Kluyveromyces lactis: one gene and its partners. The protein of the gene in region 2 interacts with the protein of the main gene of each other region in a pairwise test. Links are inferred from orthologs where the notes say so. Each region holds a gene or a part of one and is shown on either strand. Other genes may lie near its edges.

Evidence for each region.
Region 1: the proteins of RSP5 (region 2) and KLLA0_A09757g interact in a two-hybrid assay, tested with the Saccharomyces cerevisiae proteins (2 studies listed by BioGRID). The link is inferred for Kluyveromyces lactis from reciprocal best matches to the Saccharomyces cerevisiae genes RSP5 and HUA1.
Region 3: the proteins of RSP5 (region 2) and PFK2 interact in binary tests that used the Saccharomyces cerevisiae proteins (3 or more experiments, as listed by UniProt). The link is inferred for Kluyveromyces lactis from reciprocal best matches to the Saccharomyces cerevisiae genes RSP5 and PFK2.

Annotation. Positions count from the first base shown.
Region 1 is NC_006037.1:854,791-857,501, forward strand, and holds KLLA0_A09757g (uncharacterized protein), read right to left. Parts: upstream 1,210-2,711; coding exon 616-1,209; downstream 1-615. Other genes in the region: FOL2 (GTP cyclohydrolase I), read right to left, coding at 1-110; KLLA0_A09779g (uncharacterized protein), read right to left, coding at 1,763-2,218; GOT1 (Got1p), read left to right, coding at 2,689-2,711. UniProt on the Saccharomyces cerevisiae protein: May be involved in assembly and disassembly of the actin cytoskeleton.
Region 2 is NC_006041.1:1,196,940-1,201,080, reverse strand, and holds RSP5 (NEDD4 family E3 ubiquitin-protein ligase), read right to left. Parts: upstream 2,949-4,141; coding exon 489-2,948; downstream 1-488. Other genes in the region: DSE1 (Dse1p), read left to right, coding at 3,895-4,141. UniProt on the Saccharomyces cerevisiae protein: E3 ubiquitin-protein ligase which accepts ubiquitin from an E2 ubiquitin-conjugating enzyme in the form of a thioester and then directly transfers the ubiquitin to targeted substrates.
Region 3 is NC_006042.1:607,220-611,594, reverse strand, and holds PFK2 (6-phosphofructokinase subunit beta), read right to left. Parts: upstream 2,916-4,375; coding exon 99-2,915; downstream 1-98. Other genes in the region: lactoylglutathione lyase GLO1, read right to left, coding at 3,602-4,375. UniProt on the Saccharomyces cerevisiae protein: Catalyzes the phosphorylation of D-fructose 6-phosphate to fructose 1,6-bisphosphate by ATP, the first committing step of glycolysis.

The DNA.
Region 1 (2,711 bases), on a different chromosome or scaffold from region 2:
CCGTCTTTTTCCACAGTAGGATTTAAGGTATAAGGCGAAGCTGGACGAATGTTCAAAGGAGTAGCACGTCTTTCAATCTGAGAGACGTGCGAGATATGTTTGTTTTCCATTATTGAATATAGCTAGCTGTATGGGTTACCTGATATGGGTTACTAATCCATGCAAAAGAAAGACCCTATAAATATGTGATACTGGTCAGACAACGGGACTTGTTGAGAGAAGCCGACAGAAGGAGACACGTACGCACAAACTAACACACAAAACGACAAACTTTCACTGAATTATCCAATCAGTTAAAGCTTGAAAGAGCCAACCCAAAATCGAAAACTTTACAATGGAACAAATGCATATGGTACGCTTTATACCTCTTGTTTCCTATAACTCGAACTCATCGAAATTTTTCACTTTTTGTCATACAAGGAAAAAAAGTAAAACTGTGGAAACACCGTACCATGAGAAGCAGCAATTAGACATGACTAGTTACTCTATCATGTGCTACCTCAGCCAGTACCCTGCTATTGAATGTTGTTAATGGACAAACATGAAATGAATAGAAATTAATTATGTACAATTTTACTTAAACAGTGTAGAGTTTGGGCGAATCAGATGATCAAACTAGTAGGTTGGTCCAGTAAGAATCCTGCCAAGACCGTAGCATACGGGACACGGTTCTTTATCCAAGAAGAATCGTACCCTACCAGTCCCATTGCAATTGTTACACATCATGCCTCCTATGCGACTGTCACCGGGACGCACAACGATAGGTGCTGAGTTTATGACGAAATTCTGTGGTGGCATCGTGACATTAGAGTATACGAACGCAGGTCTTGGCCCTGCACTTGGACGTGGTGGTTGTGCAGGTGGGGGTTTGTAGAATTTCGACCAACATTTCTTACATTTTTGTTGAGTCTTGATCTTGGTGCCAGTGTTCCCGCATTTTTTACAATAATATCCTGGAGGGTACGTCCAGGGTAGTTTCTTATTGCCAGTACTGGTACTGGTACTGCTTGAAAAGGTACTAGTGGAATGATGGTACGCTGGTATGGCATTGCTTGGCCGGGGCGGTCTTGCTGGTGGTTGTGTTGGACGTGGTGGAGGGTTTGGTGGGAGCTGCTGCTGCTGCTGCGAAGCAGCAGCAGTATCTTGTCTCAGCACTTCATCATACGACGGAAGATGCTCATCTGGCTGTATATCTGATTCTGATTTCATTGAAGTATTCTCAAAGTGACTGGTTCTCTGATCTCTGTTCTTTACTGATCCCGATCCCGTTCTCCATACACTTTTCTTTGACTAAATATATGTCCCTTATATATCTTGATCTTTTATATATACGTGATTTATTTGGCAGATGCACCTAAAATGAGGAAACCCTATAGCACGACGGCTGCAATGTGGACGAATCCCGATCCTAAACTGGGCTTTTAGCCATTGATAACTACTGGATGCAGCCAGTGAGTAACTGCGGACTTACAGACAAGGGTCCACTCTTGCCAATGCTCCTACTAATGGTTCTAATGGGCATCAAAGTCAAAGCCTTGATCAGTTCATGTTACCCGGACCATATATACAAATATCCGGGTAACAAACTCATATCTCTGCTCTGGCGATCTCATACTACTGACAAAGGAATCTGTCATCAATCAACAGACACCTGAGAGAGACAAGCAACTTCATATGGTTAGGAGTATCTGACTATGGGCGTTGCAATGCTAATATAAATTAAATTATTTACCTGGGTGTACATGTTATGTAGAATCTCTTCCTAATCCGTTGCATGGGCGGCATGGCTGGCATGGCTGGCATTGCTGACATGTTTACCCAAATGCTTTACTACAGCTACACCTAAGAGCACAACTGTGAGTATAAGACCACGTCTTGCTGGAAACTGCCTTCTATTGAATCTTGACCAACATGTTCTACACCTGCGTTGCGTCCTGGTCTCTACACCGGTGTTCCCGCACCTTCTACAGTAATACCATGGAGGATACGTCCAGGGAAGCTGGTCGATATCAGTACCGGTATTGCAGCTACTGGTAGTGGTGGAATTGGTGGCATTATTTGGTATATCATTGGACGCATCATTTGATTCGTCATTTGGTTCATCATTTGGTTCATCATTTGATGCCTCTTGATGCCGAGAAGCACCGGTAGACGAACCTTGTCCGACTGCTTCGTCATACGACGGAAGAATACCTGATTGTTTAACTGACGCTGCCATTATAGAATGTTGGGTCACGTGCCTAACAGCCAACGGCTCCTTCCAACCTTTCTTCCATGCATCTAGTTAGACATCTGGCTTATGCGTGTCTTATATATCCATGACTCGTCTAGCAGATGAGTGAACCATCATATCCACGCAATAACATGCAAATCCACGGCTCTAAGGTGGAAAAAGGAACCCTAAATGGTGTATAGTAATGGTGGCTTCAAGGGTATAAACCATTGGACTTAATAGCAACGGCCGGTAAATTTGCTGATTCAAAGCCTCGAACGATTTTCGTTACCCGGAAAACACAATGACCGGGTAACACTTCACGTCTTTTCAGTCCAGAAGCCCAATCGCGAAAAGCGATGGGCTTCTGGACGAGCGCAGTAAATATGTGCACATTAACGCATCAAGATAGGCACTGTTTGCCTCTCTATATATGCTCATAGTATTTGATATACACGCAACAATAGCACATAACAATGAGTAGTTGGCTATCGGAGTC
Region 2 (4,141 bases):
ATATACAATAAATTCATTCAATTCACTCATTTAAATTATTTTATTATAAGCTTTACCCTGTCCTCTATCATAATTATCATATATATAATTACAACTTAACCCTTTTCATTTAAGAACCCGGTCTTAATACTATCAACTCCATGCAGCTAATTTTCGTTATTATCCCAAAATTTAAGCTGGATATATCAATCTCTGGGCAATTACAAAACTCCGTCGGTTAGGAACCAGATACTTCGTTGTCAATTGCTTCCCACATTATAGCATACCTATATAAAGTAACACCTGATAATGGCAATAAAATATAACAAAGCACCATAAGTTGAGGCCTAACGAGGTTAAGAAAAAAATTTCTATGTAATAATATACACATGTTTTGGCAACAATATATCTATAACATATATATGTCTGTGCTTGTGTTTGTGCTTGCGCTTTCTGATTGAATAATTGAGAAGGTGCAGGGTATTGAAAAGATTGAAAGATTCATTCAACTACTCTTGTCCAAATCCGATGGTTTCTTCCACTGCTAATGTTAGCTTCTGCTTGAAAGATTCATAATCAGTGTATGGTGGAAGATCCACTCTGTTGAAACAAGTGTGTGACTTGGGTAGTTGTTGAACTTCACCTGCTTTTTCGATAGTGAATCTTCTTGGACCATCAGAACCTTGCAAATCTTTGAATCCATTGACCGGGATACGCGATGTACCAGTTGTGAATTGTAACAAACGTGCTCTTTGCTCGTTGTCCCATTCAGTGATACATTTCCAGAACCACTGGATAACTTCGTCAGACTCTTGGTATCCACGATAATCTGTGTGTTTTTTCCAGTCTTCAACATCAATTTCTGCAATACCACCAATCAATAATTCAAGTTCACGTTCATCAAACACGTTGACTAGATCTTCAGGAACCAATTCGTTAAATCCATCCATAAATGCCTTAAATTGTTCTTGAACTCTGTCTGCGATCCTCCATTGGGTATATAGTTCAACATATTCTTTCTTGTTTTCATCTGTGACTTCGATTTCTCTGCCGTTTGGTTTCAAATCGACGACAACCAGTTCACCAAATCTTTCATCATCAACATTAAATGTTAGATCTAAAATGCCATCTATGCTATTTTCTAAAATCCATTTCAAGGAGTTGTAGACTTCTGAATCGACACCTTCCATATCTTGTAATACTACCTTCTTTCTTAGCATCATCTTATATAGAGCACCAACGAAGAATGCATCCAAGAACCTTCTATGGAATACACCTAAACCGACGACTCTACCAATGAACTTGAAGTAGTTCAAATGCTCAGGGTTGATACCACTGTTTGGATTGATTTGGATAGTATAGTTATCATGGGCAGAATATTCAAATAGACAGTAGAAGGGATTAAACATCTCGTGTGATAGTAAAAAGAAGAATTCTCTTGAAACACCACCATAATCTAAACCTTCTTCACCGTCAAATTTGATCATTAGTCTCTTCTTTAAGTCTTCTGGCGTTTGTCTCATTATTTCTTGGTAAGAATCTTCGAAGATATTCTTTCTGCGTACTCTGATGTGACATTGACCTGGTAGAATTCTTAAAGCCGGTTGGGATCTGAAGTAAATAACCTTACGTCTGAAGTCACGCTTATACTGTGGAACGTTTTGATCCAAGGAAGAAGGTAATCTAGGATCATCCCAAGTGGTGGTCTTAGTGTTATGGTCAACGAAGTATACACGGGCTGTGTTTGTCAATCTCATCTCCCAACCAGAAGGCAAAGGTCCTAACTGAGATACAGGTTGTTGTTGTATGGTATTTGTGGAAGGCCCATAGGTTCTAATATATTGTTGTCTTCTTGGATCGACCCATGTCGTGGTTCTTGTGTTGTGATCAACGAAGTACGCTCTTCCTTCAGGAGTGAACCGTTGTTCCCAACCTGGTGGAAGTTCACCCAACCCCGATGTGGTACCCCCAGTGGCAGCAAAAGTAGCAGCTGCTGAACCGTTTACGGCAGGAGTTTGAGATCCAGTACCGGTATGAACAGCAACGTTTGATGAAGACGAGCCCTCTGATTGAGCACCACCATCAGGTAAAGTTCTTCCTCTGTGTTGTCTACGTTCTAGTTCGGTGTTGACACGTTGAACCTCGGATTGATCCAAAGTGGGTCTTTTCCATGTTGTTGTCCTTGTATTATGATCCACATAATATGTTCTTCCAAAGTTATCCGTTCTTCTTTCCCATCCTGGGGGTAAACGACCATATTGATCTTCAAACGATGAGTATTGCCTGCTAGCTGACGATTGAGATTGAGCTGTCGAAGGTTGACCGGATGGAGCAGCATCACTTGAACCGGCACCTGAACCTGAACTGGCGGTACCTGCAGCATTCGCAGAATCCTGGTTGTCTAATGTAGTAGTTTGCAAGTTGTTAGCAACAGTCTGAGCAATCAATCTGTTGTCGATAGTGGAAGCGTTCGTCATCGAATCCGATTGACGAGCTGCTCCGGAACCAGCAACAGCACTACCTGCGGCACCAGCAGCTCCATTACGGCTGCCAGCTCTGGGGAGAACCGTCAAAACCAATATTATTCTACCACTTACTGACAACCCGTCGTTAGAACGTTTTAAATCTCTAGTAATAGTCTCTTCACGAGCTCTACCGTTCGAAGTGGCAGTATCTTCGTCCAAGTGACCCAGAATGTCACCAATACGAACGTTGACAACACCTAGGAACCCTTGATCTTTCTTCTTGAACTTTTTCTGATCAAACACTTGAACAGTTAAGATCGAATTTTCACTCACATTTTTGAATTGAAATACTTCATTCCAGTAGGGATTCAACGTCTTCTTTGCAGCCGCTGTGGATTTCGTCTGAGAACCATCGATAGTCAAAACTGCAAACGGATCAGGAGATCTAAACACATCCCTCCTGTTCAATGACTCAGCAGCCACTAGTTTCACAGAGATAGACATATTTCGCAGCTTTTTATTTTTTTAATGGTTTGTCAATTTCAAATCCGATAATTTCTCCTTCAAAGTGGAATCTCAATAACAAATTGAAAAGTCTTCAAACACTAGATATCTGATAAGTGGTAGTAACAGCAATAATTATTAAACAAATAAAACCGCCCGAGAAAGCCTATAAGGTTTTATTTTTTGTCTTTTGTCTTCTTTAATTGTCGTAATTGCAAAGAAACAGAACAGGAAACAGAACCAGAAAAAAAGTTGATGATTCCTCTAAAAAGAAGCAAAGAAAAATCAGATCAATACCTTGCTCAATACCCTTTTCCGTACCGTCCTTTTTGCCACTGTCAATGCACGTTTGCTTATCCTCTAGCACCTTGATCTGATGATTAAATCGGATGTTGTTTGCAAGTAAAGTATCTTTGTTCTTGTTTTGTTTCCTTAATTAAAATATGCAAATCACAATTTTCTTTTCTCCTTTACTTGTCACGTGAGGAGATTGAAACCTGGAAAAAGAGTACTAAAGAGGGATACCAGGCTACGCCGAGTATGTCAGTAAATTCGGAAACGGCATTAATGGCGGTGGTAGCCACCAGGTTGCAAGAATCTGCCGTATTGCTGTCAGATGACGTGCATATGGGACGATTATGGGCATCACGTGACAAAAATCATATCGTCCAAAATGACATAAATATAAACAAGCCTTTGCCAGCTTTAAAGATGCTGGGTTTGTTTACAGGTAAACAAACCTCTTGCAAACATAAACAGGATGTTTGCTCATATGGCTGCCTAACACACTCAATAGGTAACGTGCCTTTCTCTAATTTTTGTTGCTTGTTCTGCGTTTGGTCCTATTTTTGATTGGCTCAGTGTTTGCTAGTGCTATTTTTATTTGCCCTGTATCATATATAAACATGTCGTTTCTAAAAGTGACCAGCTCTTACTCCTCTAATGGATGTACCTGTTAACAATCAATTATTCTCTGCAGTGCAAACATTACACAAAGTCAAATAAGAAACTGTATATTGCGAAAATTATGACTGAATTCTACAGGGCTCCAGAGATATTCAGACAGAACGCCATCATCGTCAAGAAGAGTAGAAGAGATATTAGCGATGACGAGAACAGTACTATTGTCAGGCGGAATTGCAAGATAGAGGCTTCGAAATTGAACAGTTCCTTGCTAAGGAAGGTTAGTGGTG
Region 3 (4,375 bases), on a different chromosome or scaffold from region 2:
ATGTTAATCGTTTGTCATTGAGAGTTATAAATGCAGTTTACATAATAATATACATCCATTTCAGTGGGAATTTTGAGGAAGCAGATACGTTTTTAATTTCATAGCTTTTTTCTTCCTACAAGATGGTCCGCAATGGTTCTAGTCGATTGCCAGTGAATAGTCTTTGGGGTTCTCTTGTTCAATTCAGTTTCAAAATCGTACAATTGTCTGATTGAACTAAAGACAATGTCAGATCCCTTAACACCTAAGACTGATGCAGTTGCTATGATCTTTGGTGTATCAAAGTCGAAGTCGTCATCATCCAGATTTGCCTCAGCTGCTAATACCTTGTGTTGAGACTCAATGAAACCAACAGCTCTGATGGCGAATCTAGTACCCCTTGTTCTATCAATTGGAGAAGGTAGACCACCTTGTTGGACATGACCTGGGATGGCACATTTGGCATCGAAGTGACCTTCAGCTTCTTGAGTAATGACCTCAGCCAACACTTCAGGAGTAAGCACCTTAGAGGCATTGGTGGACTTCAAGATAAGTTGTCCGAATTTACCTCTACCTTCAGCTTCGCTGAATGATTCCGTCAAGTTTTCAATATCTTGCGTTAGTTGCTCCAAACTTATACCTTCTTCTGGGACATAGGAAACTTGGGCACCCACAGCAACAGCGGCATGTGTGGCTAGATACCCAGAGTTACCACCTTGAACATCAACAACAAAAACTCTACCACGGGTTGATGCAGCAGATTGCTTGATAATATCACAGTATTGCATCAAAGAGTTCAGAGCGGTATCCGAACCGAGGGAGTACTCGGTACCCGGAACATTGTTGGATAAAGTGGCTGGAATCAAAACCATTGGGATTCTGAAGGCTGTATAGTTCTCTCTTGCTCTTTCCAATTGATGCAAGGAGACAAACGCTTCAAAACCACCGACAATGATGATACCATCGAATCCATACTTTTGGAAATAGTAAGCAATCAAACCGATATCAGCTTCTTCAGGAGTATGTCTGTTGGTACCGATTTCAGAACCACCGCGGGATTGCCATCCCAAAAGATCCTTCCAGTTTAGAGATCTCACGGATTCGTGTCTAGTTAACCCAGTCCAACCATTGTAAATTGCATATGGTTTGTGACCTTGAGACATACAGTACGTAGCCATCGAATAAACTGCAGAGTTCATACCACCAGCTGGGGCACCGACATTGACAATAGCAATCTTCATATGGGTGTGTTCTGGTAACTTAGGTTCGATATGGTCAGCAGAATTGATTGCCATGAAATTATCCAAATGCTCAACAAATTCCGAATCTCTCAATTGCATAGCCTTTTTGAAATCCTTGGAATGGATTGCTTCCGCAACAGATTTGGTTAGTTGAACTGATTCAACCAAAGGCTTACGAGTGATCTTGTTCTCATTGATAGCGATCAAAGGAGAAGGGGTATCTGGAGTTGATTCCAAAACTGCATTGACAGCTTCCACACCTTGCAATGTTGCAAGAATACGGTCATAAGCAACGGCTGTACCACCTCTCTGGACATGTCCTAGTGTAGTAATTCTACAATCTAGACCCAATCTGTCCACTAAGACTTTATGAACGTCCTTAGATGAGATAGGAGTTAAGTCTGCTGAAATGGCACCTTCAGCAACAATAACGATAGTTGTTCTCTTACCTCTTGACCTATGCTTTGAAATGATATCACACATTTGATCTTGCCATTCTCTTGATGATGCAGGTTTCTCTGGAATCAAGATGTAATCAGCTGATGTAGAGATACCAGCCAATAAAGCTAACCAACCACAATTTCTACCCATAACTTCCACCACAAAGGCTCTGGAATGGGAGTTAGCGGTGGCCTCAATGTAATCAATTGCTTGACAGATACGATCCAATGCCGAGTAGGCACCAATGGTAGCATCTGTAGTAGACATATCATTATCGATGGATCCAACAGTACCACAAATATTCAAGTGCTGGTACCTATCGAATTGAACTTTGTTAATTCTTCCTTGATCTAAGAGTTCACGAATCAAAGAAGGCCATTCAGATCTGAATAAATCAGCACCAGTGAGGGAACCGTCACCACCACACACGATCAAAGCGTCGACACCAGCTTCGATTAAGTGAAGAGCACCAAGTAACCTTCCCTCTCTCTCTCTAAATTCTTTACAACGAGCAGTACCAATGTTGGTACCACCTTCGCAAGACCAGTTACGTACTGTTTCCCAGTAAACCTGCTTGATATAATTTGGACCACCTTTTACAAGACCTTCGTAACCTTCCATGACTACGAAGGCATTACAACCCTTGAAAATAGCTGTTCTAACAATAGCTCTCACATTTGCGTTCATACCTGGCGCATCACCACCGGATGTCATAACGGCGATGGACTTTTGCGCTTTCGCAGTCTTTGGAATCGCTGGATACGAGCTGTCAGTGGAAACACCAGAAGAAGCAATGTCTATTCTTGAAGATCTTGAGGAGATCAAAGAGGCCTCAACAGATTGCTTAGGCAGCGTAGGTTTGATAGAAATAGCATTTTTCGTTTCAGTGATACCAATGATATATCCGTTTGGATCCTTCAAATATATTTCAATTGGGTTGGTTTCGTTAGGATAGGCCTGAATCGTTTCACCAGCAGCCAAATCTCTGAAATGTTGGATATTTGTACATGAAAAAACCAATGCTGATGACACAATGGCCCTCCAATCTTTATCGTTAACAACATCCAATGGCTTGAAGCTGTTATCAACAACTAGCTTTAGAGTGATTAAAGAATTTGTCAATGTGCCAACTCGCTTGTCATGAACTAATTGCAAATACTTTTCGTAAAACTTGACTGTCTTATCATACAACCCTTGAGTCGTAACTAATTTGTACGCTTCCGTACCGTTCAACAATGGCAAAGATTGTGTCATTGCAGTTTATTATTACTTGTATCAATATTTTCCTTTTTGTAATCGTTTGATTCTCGCTTAAAAGTTTGAAAACGTGCAGAGACCTAAATATACGTCTTTATCAACTTGATCCTCTTGCAAATTCTTCTGCTAACCTTGTTACGAGGAAACTGGTTACAAGTTTCGCTATACGCAGATTATTACTGATTAATGCAGTAACTTGTTTACTGGTTTGCAAGTCAGTAGAAGCAGAAGCACGAATCAGAAATTATTCCTCTGTCCAAGCTTACAAAGTAGTTTTCATTTATACTAAATAGTCAAAAGTTCAATATCCTTTTCCCTTCCTTTAATGTGGATTGCATGATGATGGGTTTCGTGAGCATGTAGGATCACGAGCTTCCACTTTTCGGAGCACCACCAAAATTGGAATCCGGAAAATAACGAACCACTTATCTTACAGGAATCTCTGAAGTTAGTGGATGCTGCATGTTTGCTGCGTAATGAAAAATTAAAAAAAAAAAAATGTGAAGAGTTATATTAATCTCAGTCACGTGCTTTCATGTCACTTCAAAAGGATATCTTTATCAGTATTACCGGCAGTTATGGCTGTAATATGGCGATTGAACGGTGTCATATCGAATATTGTATACAACGATACATAAATTTGCATTTACATTTCAAATAAATAGATGAGAGTTTGGTGCTCTTCAAACGCCCAATCCGTATGGGACGACTTCGATGGAGTATCCATCAGGGTCCTTGATGAAGGCGAGATTCTTCATTTTACCTTGATTGAACTTTGGAGACCATTGGATATCTGGGTATAGTTTCTCAATTTCTGCGCACAACGTAGCTGGATCCTTGTTTGAGATGCAGATGTGGCCGTACCCCTGTGGTTCAGTATTACCGGTGTGATAAGCGAAATCTGGATCATTTTCTGTCCCCCAGTTATGTGTCAACTCCAAGATACTTTCTCTTGAACCACGAGCAATTCCTTTTTGATCATTTTCGTAGCCTAAGAAGTATAGCGTGAATTTAGCATTTGAATGGTCACTAACGTCAAGGATTTTCATTCCTAGGACGTTTTGATAGAATTCAAGGGATTTGATTGGATCCTTGACTCTTACCATGGTATGGTTGAACTTGTAGTTGTTCCCCTCTCCAGATTCGTTGTTTTGAATCAATTCAATCCAGTACCCATTAGGATCTAATGCGAAAGCAATATTCCTTTGGCTACCGTCTGTCAATCTCTTCTTGAACTTGACGCCATTGGATTCCAATCTTTCACATTCAGCTTCTAGGTTAGAGACACTGAAGCAAATATGACCAAACCCACGGTGTGGTTCTTCATTACCGTTGTTCACCTTGTATGCTGGATCAGATTCAGTACCATAATTGTGGGTCAATTCCAAAATACCGTTTTCTCTAAAGACGTCAATGGCACCTTGAGAGTTGTTCGAAAACTGCTTATTAGGGAATGA